Canis lupus familiaris: one gene and its partners. The protein of the gene in region 1 purifies or fractionates together with the protein of each later gene. This does not show direct contact. Links are inferred from orthologs where the notes say so. Each region holds a gene or a part of one and is shown in the gene's direction. Other genes may lie near its edges.

Evidence for each region. Proteins that work in one complex are often made in the same cells at the same time.
Region 2: the proteins of FBXW11 (region 1) and DEPTOR purify together in Homo sapiens (affinity purification with western blotting; 4 studies listed by BioGRID, with this or other methods). This does not show direct contact. The link is inferred for Canis lupus familiaris from reciprocal best matches to the Homo sapiens genes FBXW11 and DEPTOR.
Region 3: the proteins of FBXW11 (region 1) and HNRNPDL purify together in Homo sapiens (affinity purification with mass spectrometry; 3 studies listed by BioGRID and IntAct, with this or other methods). This does not show direct contact. The link is inferred for Canis lupus familiaris from reciprocal best matches to the Homo sapiens genes FBXW11 and HNRNPDL.
Region 4: the proteins of FBXW11 (region 1) and EZH2 purify together in Homo sapiens (affinity purification with mass spectrometry; 3 studies listed by BioGRID and IntAct, with this or other methods). This does not show direct contact. The link is inferred for Canis lupus familiaris from reciprocal best matches to the Homo sapiens genes FBXW11 and EZH2.

The regions. Positions count from the first base shown.
Region 1 is NC_049225.1:41,240,051-41,245,687, forward strand, and holds part of FBXW11 (F-box/WD repeat-containing protein 11), read left to right. Parts: intron 1-622; coding exon 623-741; intron 742-2,842; coding exon 2,843-2,953; intron 2,954-4,073; coding exon 4,074-4,152; intron 4,153-5,202; coding exon 5,203-5,364; 3' UTR 5,365-5,388; intron 5,389-5,637.
Region 2 is NC_049234.1:19,244,037-19,250,182, forward strand, and holds the start of DEPTOR (DEP domain-containing mTOR-interacting protein), read left to right. Parts: upstream 1-1,990; 5' UTR 1,991-2,179; coding exon 2,180-2,298; intron 2,299-3,030; coding exon of another isoform or gene 3,031-3,125; intron 3,126-6,146. Other genes in the region: reticulon-3-like, read right to left, coding at 3,031-3,125. UniProt on the Homo sapiens protein: Negative regulator of the mTORC1 and mTORC2 complexes: inhibits the protein kinase activity of MTOR, thereby inactivating both complexes. DEPTOR inhibits mTORC1 and mTORC2 to induce autophagy.
Region 3 is NC_049253.1:33,592,442-33,598,826, forward strand, and holds the start of HNRNPDL (heterogeneous nuclear ribonucleoprotein D-like), read left to right. Parts: upstream 1-2,229; 5' UTR 2,230-2,420; coding exon 2,421-2,863; intron 2,864-3,659; coding exon 3,660-3,828; intron 3,829-3,920; coding exon 3,921-4,082; intron 4,083-4,570; coding exon 4,571-4,702; intron 4,703-4,850; coding exon 4,851-4,965; intron 4,966-5,472; coding exon 5,473-5,643; intron 5,644-5,991; coding exon 5,992-6,062; 3' UTR 6,063-6,084; intron 6,085-6,385. Other genes in the region: ENOPH1 (enolase-phosphatase E1), read right to left, coding at 1,210-1,293. UniProt on the Homo sapiens protein: Acts as a transcriptional regulator. Promotes transcription repression. Promotes transcription activation in differentiated myotubes. Binds to double- and single-stranded DNA sequences. Binds to the transcription suppressor CATR sequence of the COX5B promoter.
Region 4 is NC_049237.1:1,579,033-1,585,319, forward strand, and holds the start of EZH2 (histone-lysine N-methyltransferase EZH2), read left to right. Parts: upstream 1-2,131; 5' UTR 2,132-2,186; intron 2,187-6,287. UniProt on the Homo sapiens protein: Polycomb group (PcG) protein. Catalytic subunit of the PRC2/EED-EZH2 complex, which methylates 'Lys-9' (H3K9me) and 'Lys-27' (H3K27me) of histone H3, leading to transcriptional repression of the affected target gene.

The DNA.
Region 1 (5,637 bases):
GGTCTGACTTCATTCTCTTGCATGTGGATATCTAGTTATCCCATTCAACTACAAATGCAGCTGGTAAAATAATTCAGGGCACTTCGGTTGCTTTGCATCTCCTTATTTGGCTTGTAATATATTAAGTGTGTCTGTGAACATCTAAGTCTTGCAGATGGTTTCACAAAAGAGGGATTATTTATTCCACATACATAATATTAGGAGTGATGTGTCAAAACAAATGGAGCTGTTCAAGCAACTATGCTGGAAAAGAGGAGGATGTGAAAGGTGAAACTTTTTCACATCAGTTACATTGGATTTGACATGTCAGCTGGCATGAAAACATAAAATCTGGCCCACACTCTTCCTTCTAGGCAAGTGAATGTCTGAACCATCCAGGAGATGTTCTCTTTGTGAATATCTCAAGGTTTGGAGACTTCACAGCTTCCCTGTGTTTCATTCCTGTTTTATCCCTCCACAGCCAAGAAAACTGTATGCTGGCCAATCTGTCCCCCAGCCCCCAAATCATATTTCATAGTCAAGTATTTTGGTCATTCTCAGAAGCTCTGATTTTTGTAAAAAGGTGAATTGTGAGGGGACTTTTCTGCATTTGTTCTTAAAATACTGATAATCTATTATACAGGTCTGGAGCACAAGTACCTGTGAATTTGTTCGTACTCTGAATGGGCACAAGCGAGGCATTGCCTGTCTCCAGTACAGGGATCGGCTGGTTGTTAGTGGATCATCAGATAATACCATAAGGTGGGTAGAAGTTGGTGTGCTGCCAGAGCAGGCCGATTTTTGCCATATTTTTGACTCCTCCCAGTCTTGATGTTCGAAAGACTTTGAACCTTCAGGGATACTTCAAGTAAGAAAACTGTATATGACTTTTATTAATCTGTTTGGCTCTGCATACTGAAGCAGATAAACTGATTCCCCCAAGACACATGTTTTATAACGTCTGCTCCACCCAAGATCCCTTAATACCCAAACCCCTCAGAACAAAGGATGCTCTGGCTTGACTCACCACTTTCCCTTACCTGTACCTCCTCTCTTCCTCACTAGCACATGGGACGAGCGTACTTTGTCTTGTACAAGACTGTGCTACAGGATCATCCACTCCTGTTATGCCTGTATTTTATCTCCCAACACTCAGTGACCTTGCTTTCTAGTAAATATGACAGACCTTAAACATTTTATTAAATATCTTAAATATTAAAAAAAATCTTAAATATTTAATCTTTGTTATATTATTTTATAATATTTATCTTAAATATCTGTTTACTAATCCTTAGTCATTTTTCCATTGTCCTGGCTTTTTTTCTAACCAAATTGTTTAATGTTTGGGCAAAATAAAGATTGGTTTAAAAAAAAAAGAAGGAAGGAGGGAATGAAACCACAATGATAGAGCCGAAACTGCTGTGAGTTTTATCGTTTTAAGTTTTTAAGGTATTATGAAAGTACCATGAGAACCTGAGTCTTGATGCTTTCTATTACTTAACTATTTCAGCAGTAGACAGTCCTTAACTTTCTCACTGGACTCTCTGAGGTTTTACAAAGTGATAATGTGTATTCCTTTACAGTTTATAGAGGGGACCACTTTGGAGTCAGTGGTAGTGCTAAATGACACTGTTCACAGTAGATTAGAGAAGCCAGTGTCCCTGACACTGATGAGAAGATTTGCTGAGGGTGGCTGTCATAAAATATTCATGGGGCGGATGGTAAGAGCTACTTGTAGAGAGGCTAAGAAAAGGTTGTTACAGAATTAGTTTGCTAACTTTGTTTTGTACGTGCTTATGATTTCTTTTTGCAAACAATGTAGGAAAACCAATGATAGAAAAATGTGAAAATTTCAGTTTCACATATAAATCATACACCAAGAAAAAGTCTGGATATTGTGTGGGTTTATATTTCTGAGATGCTTCATATACCTAATAAGAGGCTCCCACTATGACCTCATAAACTGGACAACCCTAATATGCAGTATCATCTAAGAGGGGGTGTCCCTAAGCCTCATCAGGAGAGGGAAACCTCCATGCTCATGAACTGGTTCTTTTTTTTTTAAAGATTTTATTTATTTATTCATGAGGGACACAGAGAGGCAGAGACATAGGCAGAGGGAGAAGGTGGCTCCCCATGGGGAGCCCGATGTGGGACTTGATCGCAGGACCCCAGGATCATGACCTGAGCCAAAGGCAGATGCTCAACCACTGAGCCACCCAGGTGCCCCTCGTGTACTGGTTCTAACTTTAGCAGGCCTCATGGATTCCAGGCCAGAAGTGCCTGGCCTGGAAGCCTAACACCCCTGGCTGTACATACTATATCCTCTCCTCAACCCACACACATGCCTTTTCTTTCTCTTTACTGCCTGCAATCCCTGTCTCCCCCAGGAAAGTCCTTGTTATACCATTTAGCTACGTGGTTTCATCAATTCAGACATTAAAAGAATGCCGAATAAAAATTAAAAGAATAGTAATACATGCATGTGATTAAAAAACTGAATAAAAGGAAATATAATGAGAAGGCTTCTACCCAATTTAGTCTCTTTAAAAAAAAAAAAATGTTTTTATTTATTTAAGTATTCTCTACACCTAACATGGGGCTCGAACTCATGACCCTGAGATCAAGAGTCACATGCTCTTCTGACTCAGCTAGCCCTGTGTCCGCCAAATTAGTGCTTTAAAATATACAAATGATCTAAATATACATATGTATCTTTCTACGTGTATAATGTGGACTGGGAGTGAAGATAGAAACAAGTTCAGGAGAGTGAAAATCATGAATGGGACAGACATGAAGAACTCAAGGATAGTGTGAATCATGTGTGGGAAGTTGTTTCACAGAGATCTGTTTTACTTTCAAGGCTATGGGATATTGAATGTGGTGCCTGTTTAAGAGTCCTAGAGGGACATGAAGAATTGGTCCGATGCATCCGGTTTGATAACAAGAGGATTGTCAGTGGGGCCTATGATGGGTATGTATTTCAAATTTTTAAATACACTACTATCACTGTATCTAGAGGAAAAACAAGCGCTGTATATTAAGCAACTATGTATGTGCCAATTCTGTGCTAGATCTGTGTAATGGATGGCAGATGTTATTATACCACTTGATCAGGTGAAGCCGCTCAGGCCCAGAAGGATGAGTGGTCTTGCCCCAAGTCTTACAGTAGGATAGCTTCTGTAACTCCTATGCTTACACTTTTAACCATTAGTGTAACCATTATTGTAAACTTTGTAAGTAGCTTAGGTTGTACAGGAATTCCATTCTTTGCCTCAGTCCTAAATTAAGTTAGCTGTGTGTGCGTGCGTGTGTGTGTGTGTGTGTGTGTGTGTTCAGTGGTCCATTTCCTTTACCCTTTGGTTAAACACTCTTTTTTAAAAAAGCCTCAGGACTTTTTAAATGAGCAAATGGCAACTGTAAACCTTTCAAGGTGACTTTATGTATACTTCACAAATGGACTAGTTGGTCTGTTTATACTCCTTTGCTTAGTTCGAAGAAAGGTATCCTTGGAATTTCACAGAGAGTCCTAGCTTCTGTCAGCAGCACCTACTCAGCTCCAGAAAGCCCTCTGATTAATGAATTTGGTGACATAGATTATCAGGTCAGGAACTGAATTTAGATAGCCTGAAGTTGTTTTCTCATCTCCCTTAAAAAATATTTCTTCACAGTTTCAATAATTCCGAGAATGTGTAGGTCCTTATTTTTTTTTTCAAAATCAAGTGTAAATGGTTTAAATGACTTGTTACGACATAAGCAGTCTCCATTAGCTTTTCTTTTTTTTTTTTTTTTTTTTTTTTTTTTTAATTTTTATTTATTTATGATAGTCACAGAGAGAGAGAGAGAGGCAGAGACACAGGCAGAGGGAGAAGCAGGCTCCATGCACCGGGAGCCCGATGTGGGATTCGATCCCGGGTCTTCAGGATCGCGCCCTGGGCCAAAGGCAGGCGCCAAACCGCTGCGCCACCCAGGGATCCCTCCATTAGCTTTTCTAATAGCAGTTCAGATGTACTTTTTTCTATCAAGGAAGTTCCTGACGGTATATGAAATGTTGTTAACTTTTCTACTAATCGCAATCTCCATTTATTTTCTAGGAAAATTAAAGTTTGGGACTTGCAAGCTGCTCTTGACCCTCGAGCCCCAGCAAGCACTTTGTGTTTGCGCACATTGGTGGTATGTAATCTGTTGAAATGGGAGTGGTTCCTGCCCTGGAAGATGATACCTGCAGATAGACCTGCCTAGGTGTATCACAAGAAAGCTTGTGTATCTCATCACAGTGTGCCTTCAGAGAAATGCGCTGTTTTGTTCATTTTGTTTAGCCAAAAGCAGAGAATAACTGACATTTACATTACAGGGAGCTCTTTCCCAAGGAGCATTAATACAACTTAATATGTGAAAGCAGGCATCCTCATTTGTAGGTGGATTGGTTTCCTCTAGAGTACAAAGTATTTCCTGTAGATTTGGGAGATTTCTTAATATGGGTATCTGGTTACGTTATATTTTTATAATATAGCACATGTTTGTATTATGATGGAATTTCCCCTTAATCTATATTGTATGGATTATTGCTTTGGCATATAAAAATACCTTATTTTTATGTGTTAATCTTGTTTTAGCAACTTTGGCAGGCTCATTATTTCTAATAGTCTGGTTGCTTTTGTTACATTAATGAGGAGACAGTTGTTTGAAAATATTGATAGACTTGTTCTTATTTTCAGTAGCTTTACCTTTTATTTCTATTTTTTTGCTTCTTGCACTGATTAGAACATGCAGTACTGTGATTAGGACTATTTTTCTTTTCTTTATTTTAATGAGAATGCTTCTGTTTCACCATTAATTTTGATTTTGGCTGTGGTTGAGATATTCTTGGTAATGTTAAAAACATCCTTCTGGCTCTGCTTTTTACAGTGTATCATGCATGGGTATTTAATATGGTTGTTTACCTTTCCAAGATCCTTGGCGAAGTGATCGCATAGTTTTTTTCTTCAACATATTAATGAGCCAGGATCTCCGATACAAAGATTAATTAAAAAAAAAAGGCTTAGAAGGAAAAGCCAAGGTATTTGCTCCCAGGGTAAAGGACAAAGCTCAGTAAGCTCTGGAATATTATTTAGGAAGCATTGGATAAGTAGCTACATTTTCAGCCTGCACCAAATCACTGATCATGAGATACGAGGGATTCTAAAGGTTTCATTTTACTCATCAAGCTGTTAAATTTCACAGGAACATTCTGGACGTGTGTTCCGGCTACAGTTTGATGAATTTCAGATCATCAGCAGCTCCCATGATGACACTATTTTGATTTGGGATTTCTTAAATGTGCCTCCCAGTGCCCAGAACGAGACCCGTTCTCCCTCCAGAACATACACTTACATTTCCAGATAACAGTCTGCACTTTACCCGTTTCAGGTGAGTACCTCCCCATGTTTAACCTTGCTCATTGAATTCACCTTCCCTTTGGGGCAGTGTTGTGATTTGGGTTTCCCGTTGATAGGAACCAAGGTGGTTAGTGTTTATTAGGTGCCTCAGCGTTGCAGAATTCCAGTGTCAGGCTAGATCTTTATGGTCATACTAAAATAAGATCGAAATTGGCATCCTACATATTGTGGGTTTTCACATCGGCAGTTGATGTAGTTCCTGTTTTTTAAAACTGTTTTC
Region 2 (6,146 bases), on another chromosome or scaffold:
GTTTTACCTTGCACCAAAAACTCCTCCTGGAAAGTATCTGACAAGAATTTCTTCTCCTTCTTCTCTTTCCTCCTCTTTTTCCTCCTCCTCCTCCTTCCTTTTCTTCTTATTAAAACCAGTAAAGAGGGATCCCTGGGTGGCTCAGCGGTTTAGTGCCTGCCTTTGGCCCAGGGTGTGATCCTGGAGACCCAGGATCGAGTTCTGCATGGGACTCCCTGCACGGAGCCTGCTTCTGTCTCTGCATCTCTCTCTCTCTCTCCCTATGTCTATCATGAATAAATAAATAAAATATTTAAAAAAATAAAAGCAGTAAAGATATTAAAGAGAACTTTTAAACACATATTATGTACATGAAAGCTTCACACAATGTTATTAAGCCACACAACATCCATATAAGGTAGGAATTATTATTCCTGTCAGGAGATGGAGGCTCTGAGAAGGTAAGCAGCACATTCTATGTTATACAATTAAAACGTAAGTGACAGCCAGCTGTTAAGCTCATTAATTCTGGGACCTCTACTTCTGTTAAATGATTTTTTAAAATATTTTATTTATTTATTCATGAGAGACACAGGAGAGAGAAAGGCAGAGACACAGGCAGAGGGAGAGGGACTCAATCCCGGGACTCCAGGATCAACCCCTGGGCTGAAGGCAGCGCTAAACCGCTGAGCCACCTGGGCCGCCCTGTTAAATGATTTTTATATATTATACAGAATGAAGCTCTTAGAATAACATGCATTTTGAACTATGTCTTGCTTGCTCTACACTTTTGCCATGGTTTATTTTAAAAGTTATAAAAGTTAGATAATTTCTCTTGTGAAAGAATTGCCTAATTGCTATCGTCGAATTTATAAGGGAGTTGGACAATTGTTCTCTTTCTGGAGTATGGTTGAGCATAACCTTGAGAGTCTCCAGACCTAGGGCTCAAGGGCTGCCTAACGGACTTTCTAGGTGTGAAATCTAGGCAGATCACTTCACCTTTGCATGTTTAAGATTTTCCAATTGTATGTTGACAATAATAATACCCAACTCTCAGGGTTTTTGTGAGGATAAAGTAAATAATATAAAGTGCTTAACAACATATAAAGCACACAATAAATGCTCAATGAATTGTTGTAAATTTTAAGTAATGATCTTGTAGAATGTTGGAAAAGGCTACAGTGATCTTTAAAAACAAATGACAAGAAGAAAACACAACAATAAAATACAATAAGCCTGAAGGAGAGTGGGTATAAACAGTTTTGAGTAGAATTGGTATAAAATATACAAAGAAAATCATTTGTTTCTCCACAGCCCTCCCATTTTCATTTTTTATTCTGTAGACTTACAACAAATCTGCAATTAAAAGATTGTCTTTCCATATAGTTTTCACTAAAAGAAAAAAAAATCCCATATACCTGTAAAGGTGCAGAGACGTATATATATATGCAAAAATTGTTAAAAGCTGCATAAAACCTCAACACACAGATACCCCTTTACTCTAATGCAGTAGATGTCAACAAGTGGCAGCCACAATTATCTTTATTTTGCAAAAGAAGAAAATGAAGATGAAGCACATTTTGGTAGGAAATTACAGGCGCGGAGCCGGATCCCAGGTCTGCCTGATTCCCAGGCCCGCGTTCTTTATTGATTACGCTCTGAGGTTAGGAAGCTGCCTCTGGTGCAGGGGGATGGGGACGAGAATGCCTAATTTCACCCACCGCTGCGGTGACGTGTGGATCCTCCAGTGCTCACTATTTAGCTATTTTGCTCGTGTTTTTACTCGGGCCATTTGGAGCACAGACAGGATGATAGCAACACCTTTACGCCTGTCACCTCCTGGCCTGTCCGCAAGGCCCCGCCGCGCGCTCGGAGGGGACGGCCCCGGGCAGGTGGCCGCCGGGGCCCGCAGCCCCCGCCCCGCAGCCCCGGAGCCCCGCCCACATGTTTATATTTTGCTCCCTCGGCCCCGCCCCCGGCCACGCGGGGCTCCAGCCGCCGCCCCCGAAGCCCGAGTCCCAGGGGCGGACCAGCCTCGCGCTCCAGCCCACCCACCGGGATTCCCTCCGCAGCCAATCGCGGCTGAGCCGCCGGCCTGCCCCTAACAAAGATGGCGGGGGAGGCCTCCGTAGGGGCAGGCTGATTTAACACCCAAACCCGCGGCGGCTAAGGAAGACAGTGGGAGCGACGCGGCGCGAGCATGGAGGGCGGCAGCGGGGGCAGCGGCGGCAGCGACGGCAGCACGGGCGGGAGCGGCGGGGCGCAGCAAAGGGAGCTGGAGCGCATGGCTGAGGTCCTGGTCACCGGGGAGCAGCTACGGTAAGGCGCGGGGCGGCGCCGGGGCGCGCCCGGGGGCGCCGCCAGCCCGTGTCGGCAGCAGCCCGGCGCGCACACGCGCTGGCTCGGGCGGGCGGTGCGCCCCTGCCCGGCTGCTGCAGCCCGGCGCCCTGCGGTCTGCACGCGCGCAGGGGAGCGGGGGTGCGCGCTGCGCCTCGGCCGCCGCTGCAGCCCTGCGCCCCGCGCGCGCTCCGCCGGGCACCTGCGCGCTGCCGGGCCTCCGGGCTGCCGGCCGACCCCTCGGGCGTCGGGAGGGCGAGGGGCTGGGTGTGCGCCCCAGGCGCTGCAGCCCTCCAGCCTCCTCGACGAGAGGGCCAACCCGGCCATTGCCTCCACTCGGGGCTTTCCACTTGGCCGGCAAGCCCCGCTGCGCTCCTCCGACCCTCGGCGTTTGCATCTGTAAAATGAGGCTGATCGCCCGGACCCCCTTGACGGGGCGTTGTGTGTGTGTGTGTGTCGGGGGGGGCGCTAAACCCCAGGTTCGGAAAAACACCCAGCACTAAATCGGCACGGCCTCCTCCGTCGTCGGCCGGTCCGCGAGGGGGCGTGGAGGCACCCTGTCCCGGCGCCCTGCAGCCCCGCCAGCTCCGCCAGCGCACAGGTTTTGCAGAGCAGAGTCCACAGGCCCCGGGCTGCTGCAGGAATTAGGAAGCGACCGGCCTCACCGCACCCGGGACAGGCAGTGAACCCCAGATCCCAGCCCCCTCCCCTTACCGATTCGCATCCCATCCTGGCCATCCTTGGATTGGTGTTTGAGTAATGGACTTCTGCGGTCTGACCAGTTCCGCAGCTGCCCGTCGTACGGTCATAAATCAGTTTGCCGTGGGCTGGGGGGGGGGGGGGGGGACTGGCTCTGAAGCCAGTTTGAGCTGCAACTTGCGTGCCGGCCCCTGGCCCAGCTGGAACGGGGCGCGTGCCCGTTCCTTCTGAAGCTTGGCCCGAATCTCCAGGCTCATTTTGGTTTCTAGACGCTCAGTTTCGGGACCTGAAGGAGAGGTCATCTTTGCAAAGGGTCTATGAAGGTTTAGTAACCACTTTGCTTGCAGCAGTTACATTGAGGAAGTAAATGTTGGAAGTTAGGGTTTGTTGAGTTTAACGTTATAGAAGGCAAATTGCACTCTTCAATCCCTCAATGATTTTTAAATGCGTAATCAAAATTAAAGGGAATAAAGGCTTGCTTTTCCTTCATCAAGAGTATTTTCTCATTGAATAAAAATTGAAAGCTTTCCTGATTCAATCTGAAACATTTGCTTTTTAATAATTTATTTGCTTCTCATTACTGTATCCTCTTTTTTGAAGACCTCAGTTGGGTACTTTTCATTTTTTTTTTTTAAGAAAGATTCATTTATTTATTTGAGAGGAGGAGAGGGGCAAAGGGAGAGAGAAAACAGACTCCTCGCTGAGAGCCAACCAGTCTCACCACCCTGAGATCACGACTTGAGCCAAAACCAAGAGTCAGACAACCAACTGGGCCACCCAGGCGCCCTGCATTTCTTTTAAAATAACAAACTGCATGGTGCCTCTCTTTGACCAGTAAGCACGTAAGCCCTCAAGAGGCAACTTGAATGCCCCTTCTTTGGAGGGTCTTCAGTTGTTATTCCCCTCTTCCTGTACTGCAGTAGGGTTGAGGGCCACGCTTAGCTTGGTGGAAAGAAGAAAGGAGGCTCTCTCTCTTTCACTCAAGAGTTAGACCTGGGTTTGATTTTCTGCTTAGCCACTTTGTAGCCAGTGGTCACCCTTAAGTTTCCAAGACAGCTGCTAGAGTGAGTCCTGGGTTTGCCCTTTACAGAAGCTTGAGACCATGAACAAGTTACTTAACTACGAATGCTGGGTAATAATGGAACCCACCTCCTAGTGTTATGAGGATTAGATGAGTTAGTGCTTAGAACAGTGCTTGGGGGCGCCTGGGTGGCTCAGTCCGTAAAGCAGCTACATTTGGTTCAGGTCATGATCCCTGGATCCTGGAATGGAGCCCCACGTCCGCTGAGCAGGGAGCCTGCTTCTCCCTCTCACCTCCACTGGTGTTCTCTTGCTATCTCTGTCTCTCTCAAAGAAATAGATAAAATATTAAGAAAAAAAAAAAAAAGAACAACAGCACCTGGTATATAGTAAGCACCATGTCCGCATTAGCTATTATAGCTCTGTGACCTTGGACAAGTTAACTCACTTCTCTGAGCCTTTGTTTCCTCATCTATAAAGTGGCAATGAAGATAAGCACTTCATGGGGTTGTTGTGGGAATTTGCCCTTGAGCTTCTGTACTAATGAGCATTCAACAATGGTTGCTGGAATTAATCAGTATTATTGGTTTATGCATGTCACCACATGTGACTTTCAGCCAAGCGAGATCTGCCAGGAAGGATTGGGTGGTGGTTAAGAACATGGGGTATAGAATCAGGCTGCCTGGGTTCTTACTTGCCTCCACCATTGTTGAATAGTTCTGTGACTTTGGGGTCAATTTACTTAATGCTCTGTGCCTGTTTCCACATCTCTTGCAAGAATATTGTGAAGATTAAATGAGATGGTCTATGTGAAGGGCTTAGAAAATTTTGTTTACGATTTAAATTTACTTTGTAATCATTGCTTTTTAAGTCTCAACCATGTTAGCACTGGGTCTAGCACATAGTTATTACTCAATACATATTTGAGTGACTAGTAGTATACATGATTAAATATGCTACAGTACAGATGATATGTTCAGAATTTAGGGATGTAAGTATGCCCTGGCTTCTTGTTACTGGAGGAACCTCTCATGAAGGGGTGGGGATGCAACCATCCTCGAAAGCCGTGTCACAACACGTCCTAACATCCTGAGCTGCTGTGACTGGGGGGACTTCATGATGTGCAGGCCTCCTACCTGTTTCGCATACAACTCCCTTTTGTCTTCCCTTACTTTCCCATTGCTTTCTTGATCATCAGAGATGAGGCAGATGAAAGTGATGAGAAATGGGGACACCAAGGATTGGGATTTGAAATAAAAAATTTGGCTTCCAGGCCCAGCTCTGTGCATTTTATTTAATGCTTATTATATAAAGACACTTTAATATTCATGAAACACATGTATGTATATACGTATGTACATATTTTTAACCATATTCCCTTGACCAAGTCAGCCACTCTGGGCCTCAGTCTACCTGCAGAATGGGAATAGTAATATCCTTCCACATAAGATTTGTGGTGTTGGATCAAATGGGCTAGAATGTGGGAGGGAACTTTGTAAAATAAATCATAGACCCAGATTAGTTCTTGTTGGTCTGATTATTGTAAGCTCCAGCTATGAAACTGAGGGCTGGCTCTACAATCCTGACACTTTGAAGGGCAGTTGGCTGTCTAAGGACGTGAAATTAACAAACTTAGAAACCTCTCCTGCTTCCTTTTCCAGCCTGACTATGGGGTCCTTTTCGTAATCTCTTCATTCTTTCCCTTTTCAGAAAAGATTTTACTTCCTTGAATAATGTATTTTTATGGTTTTGCATCTTAAAAGTGCATTGGGGTACCATTTTCTACTGACGCGATGGCTATAATAACAAAGACAGTAGTAAGTGTTGACAAGGATGTGGAGAAATTGGAACCTCTATATACCACTGGTGGGCAGGTAAAATGATACAGCCACTTTGGAAAACAGTCTGGCATTTCCTCTAAAGATGAAACAGAGTTAACGTAGGACTCAACAATTTTACTCCTAGATATATAGTCAAAAGAAATGAAAACATACGTCCACATAAAAATTTATACCCAAATGATCACAGCAGCATTATTCATAATAGCTAAAAACAACTCAAGTGTCCATCCACTGATGGTTGGATAAACAATGTGTGGTGTATCCATGAAA
Region 3 (6,385 bases), on another chromosome or scaffold:
CTCAGTTTGTGATCCCAGGGTCCCGGAATCGAGTCTCTGCCTCTCTCATGAATAAATAAAATCTTAAACATTGTTTTGATATTTATTCTAATAGAATATAGGTATTTTTTTGAAGATTTTTTATTTGTTCATGAAAGAGAGAGAGAGAGAGAGAGAGAGAGAGAGAGAGGGGGGGGCAGAGGGAGAAGCAGGCTCCATGCGGGGAGCCTGCTGCGGGACTCGATCCCGGGACTCCAGGACCACATCCTGGCTAAACCAGTGAGCCACCCGGGGCCGCCCGAATATAGGTAAAATTTTTTAAAGCCCAGCTATAACGCAGAGCTCGCGAATAAGCCTACGAAGTAGGTGTAGACAGTTGCTTGGTTAATAGTGACGCCCTAGGATAGAGGCTTTGGGCAAGAGCTTCAAGTTTCCATGATTTTCAGAGAAAAATGAACGGAATCTAGACCTTTTTGTGCTACAGGCTAATGAATCAGCGTTCCACAGTGATTAACAGTCCAATAACACGAAGAGTGCTACTCGGCCATTACCAGCAGGAGTGAAAAGGGGCGAGTCAGCCGGGCTACCTGAAAAGTCATCTTGAGGGGATCCCCGGGTGGCGCCGCGGTTTGGCGCCTGCCTTTGGCCCAGGGCGCGATCCTGGAGACCCGGGGTCGAGTCCCACATCGGGCTCCCGGTGCATGGAGCCTGCTTCTCCCTCTGCCTATGTCTCTGCCTCTCGCTCTCTCTCCGTGTGACTATCATAAATAAATAAATATTAAAAAAAAAAAAAAAGCCATCCTGACACTCCCGTCCACGTCTTAGGGACTGGAAGCCTCCAGGCCCCCGCCGCCGCCGCCGCCGCCGCGCCGAAGCCAGCCCAGAGCCCGGCGGACGCAGCGCACCTGGCGGAGGGGGCGGGGCGCCCCGTCTCCCCACGCGGGCGGGTCTGCCCGCCGCCGCCCCCCTCCGCCAGCCACCATCCCGTCCCCACCCGCGTCCCACCCATCGGCATCTGACCGAGAGCAGGGGCTGGCGACGAAGGGCCTATCCCCGCAACCTGCCGCACGGCAGCCTTTCTACTCCCTCCCCCCACGGCGAGTGCAGCGCCACGCCGCCTCTCCCACGCCTTAGGTCAGGTCTCTGGTCCAGGGTGGGCAGCACTTAAAAGAAAAGAAAGAAAGAAATGTTTTTAATTGCTTTCAAGCACCGCTCCCTTCCGCCCCTCACCTTCACGAAAGCAATCGGGGTTGTGGTACCTTCGACATCTAACAGGATGACGGTGACTTCGGCGGGCACGGGAAGCACGACCATCTCCCTGCCGGATGCAAGCACCGGAATCGGCCTACTAGCGGGAGGGCGGAGGGCGGCGCCCACTGCGCCCCGACACGGTCCTGGGCTGCCCACGGCCCCGCGGGAACGTGCCGCCCGGCACCCGCGTGCGGCCCGGAGCACGAGGGGCAGGGCCGCGCCGCCCAAGGCGCACAGCACCGCGGCACGGGCGTCCGCCGCCACCCAGCAGCCCGGGCCCGAGGCCGACACCACGTGGGCGGGGGGAGGGGCGGCCTCGCGGAGCCCGAGCGGGCGGGGGCGGGCACAGGCGGCGACGCCGATTGGCCACCAGAGGGCCCCGAACGCGGCCCGTCCACGTGGGCCTCGCGTGGGCGGGAACAAAGAAGCGAGCGCGGGAGCCGGGTGCGCGGGCGCGCGCGCGCCCTCCGCAGACTGGTGGAGCGAGCGGGAGCGGCCCGGGGCACGTGCAGACGGGAGCCCCGCGAGTGGCGCGCCGGGGATGTGAGTGCCCCTTGCCCCCTACGGCACCTACCCCCTCCCCGCCCACCGCCTCCGCTTTGGCGTGTTTACAGTAACCGGGCCGGGCTCGCGGCCCTCCTCCCGCCCGCAGCCTGCCGGAGAGGCCGTGCCGGGGCCGGGACTGGGACTGGCCGGCCTGACTGCGTGGGCCCGGGCTCCGGCCGACCGGCTGCGGAGGCCCCCGCGCGCCCGCTTCCTGCTCGGCTGGTTCCAGCCGGCTCGAGGACGAAACACGCGTGCGCGCGGCGGGCGGACGGGCGGGCGGGCGCGCTCGCTGTCTCGGCCGCCGGCGCCGGGCGCAGTCCGCCTGTGTCGGGAGCAGCCCGGCCACGGTGCTAATCGAGAGCAGCGGCCGCCGCCGCCGCCGCCCCCGCCGCCGCCGCAGTCCGCACTGGGGGACCGAGGGCTTTGGGAAGAGGCGGGGCTGACGGCTCTTTGCTAGCAGTGGGCTGGACCGGACGCCAGAGACAAAGGCTCTCAAGACCGGAGGGACGGTGGCCCTGCGACGGCGCTGCTCGGACTCCTGAGCCCGGGACTCTTCGCCCCTTCGTTTTCCTCTTCTGACGCTTCTCTCCTCTTAAGCCCGCGCCCCCTCACCCACGACCTCGCTCCTCACCGGGAGGGCCGCGATGGAGGTCCCGCCCCGGCTCTCCCATGTGCCGCCGCCATTGTTCCCCTCCGCTCCCGCGACTTTAGCCTCCCGCAGCCTTTCCCATTGGCGGCCGCGGGCGCCGCGGCAGCTCGCCCCGCTCCTCCCTTCGCTCGCTTCCAGCTCGGCCCGGCAGGGGGCGCGCCGGGCCCAACGCCACGTCACCGCCCAGCAGCCCTCCCGATTGGCGGGCGGGGCGGCTATAAAGGGAGGGCGCAGGCGGCGCCCGGATCTCTTCCGCCGCCATTTTAAATCCAGCTCCATACAACGCTCCGCCGCCGCTGCTGCCGCGACCCGGACTGCGCGCCAGCACCCCCCGGCCGACAACTCCGCCGCCATGGAGGACATGAACGAGTACAGCAACATAGAGGAGTTCGCAGAGGGATCCAAGATCAACGCGAGCAAGAATCAGCAGGATGACGGGTACCGCACGCCTCTCTCTTCTTTTCCCCCTCCCCCAGCGCGCCGCACGCGCCTTTCGTCCCTCTGGAGCCGCGCGCTGCCACGGCTCTTGCCCCGAGTCGATTCCCCGCGTGCCCGCTGGGCCCCACTCGCTCAGAGGGAAGAAGAAAGTAGGAGACGGAGGGGGTGACTCGAGAGGCCCGCGGAAGGTGGGGGAAGGGCGGGGGAGTTGGAGGAGGAGGGCGGCGGCGTCCGTGTCCCGAGTGCGCAGGCGCCGCGTGGGGCCCGAGGGGGAGGGGCCGGCCTCGCTGCGCCACATGCTGCAGCTGCCGCCGCCTTTTCATTGTGTCTGTATCGGGGCCCCCGCACGGCTTCCCTGCGGAGTGTAGGGAATCCTTGCTTTGGGAATCCGTGTGTGACTGGTACCCGGATCTCCTTCAGAATGCGTTGGGAGTTCTTGAGGTGGAACGTTGCTTTGACAGCTGCGGAAGAGGTAGAGTAGACCTAAGTTGTGAGGGATCAACTTTAGGAAGTTGGGTTTATAAGGCTGAAGCGATGTTGAATATGCTTTCTTGGCTTCGTTGAAACTTCGTATGACGAGGTGTGGTGAGCAAGCTGTCCATTCGTTGTTTCGAATAAGTGACCTCGATGGAATCTGAGGGGTTTTGTGGTCTTTTGTTCATACGTGATCTGTAGACACTGAATTATTTGCACACGCATTGCTTCTTCCTGTTCGTTTCGTAAACCTAATTCCCCAACTGAGGTAATCCTGCGGGGTGCTGCTAATCTTTTTTTTTTTTAATAACTTCATTTCTAGTAAAATGTTTATTGGAGGCTTGAGCTGGGATACAAGCAAGAAAGATCTGACTGAATATTTGTCTCGATTTGGGGAAGTTGTAGACTGTACAATTAAGACAGATCCAGTGACTGGAAGATCAAGAGGATTTGGATTTGTGCTTTTCAAAGATGCTGCTAGTGTTGATAAGGTAGGAGCAGGTTCCGCATTGTGCTGCTTCTGTGTTTTTGCAAATTGGGGGTTTGGTTGTATATTGTCAGATTAAACGCACTTGTCTTCTAGGTTTTGGAACTGAAAGAACACAAACTGGATGGCAAGTTGATAGACCCCAAAAGGGCCAAAGCTTTAAAAGGGAAAGAACCCCCAAAAAAGGTTTTTGTGGGTGGATTGAGCCCAGATACTTCCGAAGAACAAATTAAAGAATATTTTGGAGCCTTTGGAGAGGTGCGCTGTGTTTTTATATGTCTTTCATACTTGGAATGTTTATATACATGAGTGTTCGTCCCCAGCCTTTTACAGAATTGATTGATTTGTCAGGTGATGGGAAGAGGTTAAAATTAACTGCTTGAGTCCCTTCTAGTCACTGTACCTTAAATTACTGTTTTCTGTGCTGTGATAGAAACCAACATCTAATTTATTTTGGCCAAAACACGGGTGCTTTGGAGGTGGTGGTCAGTATTTGGAATTAATAACCAGTGGCATCTCTTGGGTACAAAATGATAATAAATGAAGTTTTGCTCTCTAACTGCTTCACAGATGAAGCTTTGTGGTGTGATACTGATAATAAAATAGGTGTTTCTGTACAGAAGTAATCTGACTAGAGGAATAGACAACATGTTATACTGAAGTTTGAAAAGAATCTTTGGAATTCTAAAACACTTTGGTAGCTTTTACCATTACTGGATGATGTTGAATGTGCTTCTTGATTTCAGATTGAAAATATTGAACTTCCCATGGATACAAAAACAAACGAAAGAAGAGGATTTTGTTTTATTACCTATACAGACGAAGAGCCAGTAAAGAAATTGTTAGAAAGCAGATATCATCAAATTGGTTCTGGGAAGGTAAAGCCATTTTGTTTTTATTAAGTGAAAATTTAGAGGATGTTTTTTGTTTTCGAATGTGAGATTTCTCAATTTATGAGAATAGAATGGCTTGACCTTACAGTAAAAACTCCAGGTTTTTTTTTTTTTTTTTCTTATGTGTATATAGTGTGAAATCAAAGTTGCACAACCCAAAGAGGTATATAGGCAGCAACAGCAACAACAAAAAGGAGGAAGAGGTGCTGCAGCTGGTGGACGAGGTGGTACTAGGGGTCGTGGACGAGGTGAGACTTAATCCTTTGGGACCTAAATCTTTGGATATGACTCCCCATGGTTTAGGCTGTAAACTGCTAAATAGGAATAAGCCCATAAGAAAATTCAGCCAGATTTCCAACATAAAAATGCTCTCATTGGTGGGTGGGTTTTTGTTTACTGGTTTCGCCTCCTCAAAGAATGGCCACTAGGACACTGTCAGTGTCCTTACTAATGGCAAGGTGATGACCATTTAATGTAGTTGAGATTACATGATACACCATGGCATGCTAGTTTTTTGGGGGACAGGAGTCCTTGTTTTGTCTTGATTTTCCTTAAATTTAGGAAGCTTGATAACTGGCACAATTGGACTTTCTGCCCCCTTTTTAACCACAACTAGAATAAAAACTTTCTCAGGTAACAATATAGCTGTCCATTCCACCTGTTAAGGGTTTTCAGAGTGAGGGCCAGGAACACAACATTGTATTAGGATTGGGAGTCAGAAGTCGTTTCCTAACAATCATTGTGCATTGTTTCAGGTCAGGGCCAAAACTGGAACCAAGGATTTAATAACTATTATGATCAAGGATATGGAAATTACAATAGTGCCTATGGTGGTGATCAAAACTATAGTGGCTATGGCGGCTATGATTATACTGGGTATAACTATGGGAACTATGGATATGGACAGGGATATGCAGACTACAGTGGTAAGAATATTTAACTTAATCTCATACACCAATGGTATTAGAATTCCGTGTTAAAGTACATTCTCGTTCTGAAATTGGGGGGGGGTCCATTCTTGAAGTGTTTTGGAGTTAAGTTTTTGAGGCATCTGATAGTCCTAGGTTGATTATCCTAATGTAGATATTTTGGTTGTTAGAAACGTTTTAGAATATGTGTTATGTGATTAGTTTATAATGGGCATTTAATATATCTGCTATTTTAATATTTGGCATGCAGAGTTGTACATTTTTAATAGTTTTCTAAAGTATTTATAATGAAACCATTTTGTGGAAAACTATCTTAATATAATTTTTTTTGTATTTTCAAAATAGGCCAACAGAGCACTTACGGCAAGGCGTCTAGAGGGGGTGGCAATCACCAAAACAATTACCAGCCATACTAAAGGAGGACATTGGAGAAAACAGGTGTGTGTAAGAGTACAAGAAACCAGTGGAAATATCTATAATTTAATTTAAAGATCAATAGACAAATGAAAAATAAGTAAAAACAAAATATTACGTAGTCTGTTTTTACTAAATTGTTAATTTTTTAATTGCTTTATGAGCCCGTTTTGCCTAAAGTGTCTATAGATCTTTAACTTTAAAAGTCTTATCTCACTTTCTTTAGTATTACAGAAAAACTTAAGAGTTTTTCTGTTTGCTTTGTGTACCAGGTGGTCTAGAGGAATAATTAAACTTTTTTAGAACTATTAACAGGTAAAGTACT
Region 4 (6,287 bases), on another chromosome or scaffold:
AAATATGTATCATAAACATACACATTATATTTAATACAGCCTCACTTAACTCTAATGGACTCTCTTACTCTACCAGTTGGAGCTCTCAGCTTTAATTCTGGGAGTAGATTTTCATTTCCATCTCTGCTGTCCTCACTGCCTCCTCCATCTAGAGCTTATGCTTTCTTCAGGGTCCAAGTAAAACTTCCTGTTCTGAGATTTGTGTGCATGTGTGTGTGTGTGTGTGTGTGTGTGTGGCAGTGGAAGCACCTTGATCCAACATCGTTCCTTGATTCTAAATGCCCTAGCGATTCCTATGACCTTTCACACTATGCTGGATGTGTTCATATAGGTCTTTGATTCGCTTTCTGATAACCTCGGTTAATGTTATTTTCTTGACCTTTCTTTCAATAATGAGCACATTGTTTTAATATTTAATAGAGTACAGGTAAAGCTAGTAACTTGACAAGCAATTTAGGGATAAGTAGTTAACTTCTGAGGTTTAAATTGCTGTTTAAAAAGGGAGTTGTAAATCGCTGGTCTAGATGGGAACCTTTCACCTCGGAGTAAGAATGTATTGGTGGCTGTTGGGTGTTTGGTAGATGGATTTTTGCGTTATTTCACAGTTACATCTCACATGCACAACCTACTCTTGCACTTATTCTATGTTCATAACCGTGCTTCCATTTGGGCACACGGTTATTTTCCTCTGTGGCTTCCCGCCGCATGTAATCCTGACATTGAATTGGTCGGGAATACAGCTGAGCAACTGGACGATGATTTAGGAAAAGGTGGGAAAATTATGGCTTAAATCACCAGACCAAGACTTGAGTCATTAAAAAGTCTGAGCTAATTAAAAAAAATCATACATATAATATATAATATTATGTTAATATATTAAATTTACTATTAACATAATATTATATTAATATATGATAATATATTACAATATTATAATACTAAATATACATATATAAAAGAAACACGGTGTCCTTAGGGTTTTAGACTCAACAGTTCGTAGGTGACCCGGGGTCTGACTCTCAGCATGGAACCCCAGTTCGCATGAGTGATGTTCGCATCCTACCACTGCACAGTTGCATCCTATAACTAACTATATAACTGCGTCCTGCTAAATAAATTCGGCCCAATCTTGACTTCCTCGACAGACGAGAGCCAAAGGGGGAGGAGACTGTGCCCTAAAACCCGACACGTCCCCGATTCCTCCCGGTGCGACAAGGTTTTCCTCCAAGATCACCTAATGATCATCGAAAAGGGTTTTCGTTTTCCAGAAGCATTAGCAGGAGGCGAGGGAACCACAGCGGTCCTTGAGCAAGGATTCTCTTTCATCTTCCCTGCACGCCGACACGCGCGCTGCCAGGGTCCGGGCTCGGCGTCTGCCCCGGGCCCAGGTGCGGGGCGCCCCTGCAGCCCGGGTCTCTAACCCGGTGCGCCGCCCCCGCCCCCGCCCCCGGCCCCACCCCGGCCCCGGCCCCGGCCCCGCGCTCCCCGCCCGGCCCGGCCCGGCGCGCGGGGAAAAGAGCGCGGCAGTTGCAACCGTTACCACCCCCGAGTTTTGAACTGGTTCAAACTTGGCTTTCGGCCCCGCCCCGCCTCTCGGGCCCGGGAACTCCGAGGCGGCGGTTCCCGCCAAGCGCCGCGAGCGCGCCGTCCCGCCCTCCGGCCGGTTCCCGCCACCCCGCCCTCCCCGCCCGGGCCCGGCGCTGCGCAGGCCCCCGCGTCCCCGCCCGCCCGCCCGCCCGCCTTCCCGCCTTCCCGCCTTCCCGCGAGGCGCCGTGCGTTCCGCCAAAGAACAAAGAAACGGCGCGGCGCTTCCACTCGGCGGCCGCGTCCCTCAGCGCCCGCCCGCGCCCGCGCCCGCGCCCGCGCGCACGCGCCGCCCGCCCGGCCCGGCCGAGTCCCGCGGGCGCCTCTGCGTGGGGCTGGCGCGGCGCCTCCGAGCCCGGCGGGCCCTGTGATTGGACGGGAGCCCGCCGCGGCCCGCCAATCGGGGCGGCGCTTAGTTGGACAGGGGGGGCCAAATAAAAGCGCTGGCGATTGGGCTGCCGGGTTTGGCGCTCGGTCCGGGAGCGCCCGACACCCGCTGGGACGCAGAAGGCGGTGGGGCCCCGGCGGCGGCGGCGGCGGCGGCGGGAGCGGCGGGAGCGGGAGCGGGAGCGGGAGCGGCGCGGGCTGGGCGCGGGGCGCAGGTAACGCGCCGCTGTCGGGCCGGCCGGCGGCGGGGCCCTGGAGCCCGGCGGGGGGCGGCGGCGGCGCCGGGACATCCCCAACGCCGCGCTGCCCGTGCGGGTGTCGCCCCGAGCGGGGTGTCGCGGGCGCCGGCGCGGCGGGCGGGGGGCGCGGGGATGCCGCGGGGCGGGGGCGGGAGCGGGGGCGGGGCGGGGGCCGGGCGGGGGCCGCGGGCGCCCGAGGCGGGGGGCGGGGGCGGGGGGGGCGTGCGGAGGGGTCGTCCGCGGGCGCCGGGCTGGCTGGGCTGGGGGCGCCCGCCGTCCGCCGTCCGGGCGCGCGGGCTCCTTTGTGTGGAGCGCCGCGGCGGGGCGCCCGGGCGGGACGGGGCGCGGGGCGCACACAAGTTGGTGGGACCGCGCCGCCGGGCGCGCACGCAGACAAAGGGCGGCCGGCGTCTCGGGGCAGCCCCGCGGGCCTGACAGCGGGCGGGGGCGGCGCGGGGAGCCCGGCGGCGGGCGCTCGGCCCCTCGCCTCTCGCCCCGCGCCCCCTCCCGCGCCCCGCGCCCCCTCCCCGCGCCCCGCGCCCCGCGCCCCCTCCCCGCGCGCGGGCCCGGCGAGCGGAGCCGGGGCTGGGGCGGCCGCGCGGACGAGGCGGTGCCGGGCCGCCCTTCTCCTAAGTTTGCGGGCAGGGCAGGGCCGGGCAGGGCCGGGCAGGGCCGGGCCGTCCGCCCCGTCTCGGCTTCCTGGGCCTGCGGGGTCCCCTCTCGCCCTCCCTCCCCTCCCCCGTCTCCTCGTCCCCACGGAGTCCGTGCCGCGGGGTCCCTTTCGGGAAACGGGACGAGCCGAGGAGCGTGCTCTTTTCGGAAAACTTGGGTGAACTCGGCGCGTCTCGGGGAGTTCCCACTTTGCAAAGAATCGCCGTCCCCAAGAGAGAAAAGCAGCCGCGGGCCGCCCTGGCCAACCGGTGGGGTGCGTCGGAGGGGGCGGCAGGTGCCGAGGAAACCCGCTGCCCCGCAGGCGGCCGGCCCCAGGCCCCGCGGCGGGACGGCGGCGAGCACCCTGCGGGCGGGCGGAGGGGCGGGCGGGCGCGGGACCGACGCGCGTCTGGAGGCTGACGAGCTCCTTCCCACGGACGGGTCTTAACTTCCCCCGAACAATAGGTTTGGGGAGGCAGGAAAGCCTGGACGCAGACAGCGTGTGTCGCCTAAGAAACCCAACGTGTGCTGCCCGCAGTCAAGCTAAACTTCCTTTGTTTGCAGCACAGGACCCGTAAAACTTAAAAGATCCGTGTGGAAATAACAACCCGGCTCTGGAATTGAAAAGTATTCCACACGGTTTGCTTTCTTGGTTCCGGAGCTCAGCGGTTGCATTCTTTGGCGTTTGAAAATTACCTAAAGCAACCTTTGGGGAAGAAGAAGAAAAAAAAAATCTTAAAAAAAAAAAAAAGTCCAGTGCTCGTACGGTTGAATTATGATCTGTACTTCTCTGGGGCTTTGGAGGTGGTTTTTCATCACTCTTCTTTCCGTGAGCATTAGCAACTCTTTTTCATATTTAGGAATAAAGTGGACAGGTGTTCAGAGCCTGACCACTTTATTGATGATCTTATATGCAGGAAGACGAAAATGGTTGAGATGTATCTTGATGTTCTTTTCGTAGGGTCTAAGTTGGGGCTAGATGGGATTCTAGTCCTATGTGTAAAGATTCCTGTATGTGTTTTTGTAGACCGATCAGGATACGGGATGTTTAAACTCTTGGAAACTTAGGAAAATTGCATCTTCCTTTCTGATTTTTGTGGAAACCGAACATATTCAAAGAAAAGGAATTTAGAGACCCACAGGCACTCTTCTTTATTTGCGTTCTGATAAAGAGCTAATGTGCACCTACTGTCTTCTGGTTGCATAAAAATGGAGACAAAAGAAACGCAGTGTGAAAGTCTTTATTACGAATATTTTGCAGAGACTGTTGGACACCGTTGAACGGACGTCCCAGGTGCTGCCTCAGGGTTGAGATGCTTAAATGATGTTTAGATTTAGTTGCTGATAATTATCTATTAAAAAGTCCTGATAGTTCTTGCCCACTGTTAGGAGATGAGTTATGCAGATCTTGGCAGAAATTTGGATCTTTTAGGATAAATTCTAGTTTTTCCCTTGTGTATTCTGTAATTGATAATTACTGTCCTTATACGTGCCACAAAAATTTTTTAAAAAGCCTTTTTGGGGCTTTGGCTTAGATTTTTTTTTTTTTTCTGGTTGAATTGTGAGTATATACAAGTCACTTTTAAGTAGCAGTGATTAAAAAAAAACACTTGTTGATTTAGGGCAAAATAAAAGTTCTGAGACATTTATGATAGACATAAAGAGAGAGAGACAGAGACAGAGAGGCAGAGACACAGGAGGAGGGAGAAGCAGGCTCCATGCTGGGAGCCTGACGACAGACTGGATCTGGGGACTCCAGGACCGAGCCCTGGGCCAAAGGCAGGCGCTAAACCGCTGAGCCACCCAGGGATCCCCAGTTCTGAGACTTTTATGCCAGCTTTGGCTATTTAAAAATTTTAAGCAGATTTCTCCAAGTCCTAGTGACGTTTTTCTAGATTATCTGCCATCCCTTGAGCTGGCATGCTCAAGGAGTGTGAATTTCTGTATTGGCCTAAATAGTGATTAAGAAAGTTGATCTGCTTCTTAGAAACTGACAAATGAAGTTCTTCTAGCGTCTAATGTATTCTAAGGTCAATTAGAAATGATACACGGATTTGCCTTGGATTCTTTATGTCCCTACAAACGATGAAAACATTTTCTGTGCATTATGAAAGATTGCATATACAGGTGAAATCTTTCGGGGAGAGCATGAGTGGAGATGAACAGCTCATTAAATTCAGAGAGAGGTTCACAATCAGATGATACCTTTGCCTTCTAGAGGCCTTCCCCGAATTCCCAGGCACCCTTGTGTTCCACAGGGCTTTGTTCATACTTTTATTATAGCGTGTATCAAATTGTATTGTAATCACTTGTTTATGCATCTGGCACCTTCACTGCGCTCTAAGTGCTTTGAGGCAGAGGCTCTGTCTTGTTTTTCTTTGTATACCTAGTAGTTGCTGGAGAATAGAGGGTTTAATAGTTGAATGAAGGAAATATGGGGGAATAATTTGACAAAGGAACTTTGCAAAGCATACTACAGGTTATGTTAATGTTTATATTGTGATGGAACTTTGGAAGGTGTTTTTCTCCCTCTTTGAGATGCAGCAATTGTAAAGAAAAATAATCATCAATGTGGGTAAGTTTCAAGGTTTCTCCTAGTTGTAATACTCTAAGATACTCAAAATTCTATATCCTTTAGGTATTCTTTTGCTATTCATATTTGGTATTTCAGGCAGCTAGAGAGAAGCTTGATGAGTCGTCTGGATACCTTGCATATAGTATCTGCTTAATTTGATTTGATGTCAGTATTGATGGTCCTTGTCCAAAAATAAAAGGAGAAAGTGTCGGAGACAGTAGTAAATCTTTTAACTGAAAGCTGTCTAGTTAAAATTGATGAGTTCTTTACTGGAATAATTCGTGGTAGGTTTTGAAGCTAAAACTGAAGGAAGTAGTGTCAGCGTAATTACACATCATTTATTGGGATGTTCTTCATTCTTTTAAAATGATAAGTGTAGATTAGCAATAACATCTCAAAAGGCATAGCTGATATGTTTCTAAAATGGTTCCATATCTTGCTACTACATGGTACAAAAATTTGACAGAGACAAAGGGAAAAGACAGTAAAGCGCCTACTATTTGCCAGATGCTTTATTCATTCCTTTGGTTTATTTCTTATTGTGGTATTATTTACATCTGATGCTTTATATTTAATTATTGTTAAAACCACCCTGCATCCCATCAGCAGATGAACGGATGAACAAAGCCTGGTGTACACATACAGTGGAGTATTATTCAGCCATTAAGGGCATGGATTTCTTATATGTGCTACAACGTGGATGAACCTTGAAAACATGCTAATAAGTGAAATAAGCCAGACACAAAAGGACAAAAATTGTGTGATTCCACTTATAGGAGATACTGAGAATAGGCAAACTCACAGAGATAGAACGTAGAATAGATGTTTTTAGGGGCTGAGGAGCGAGGAAT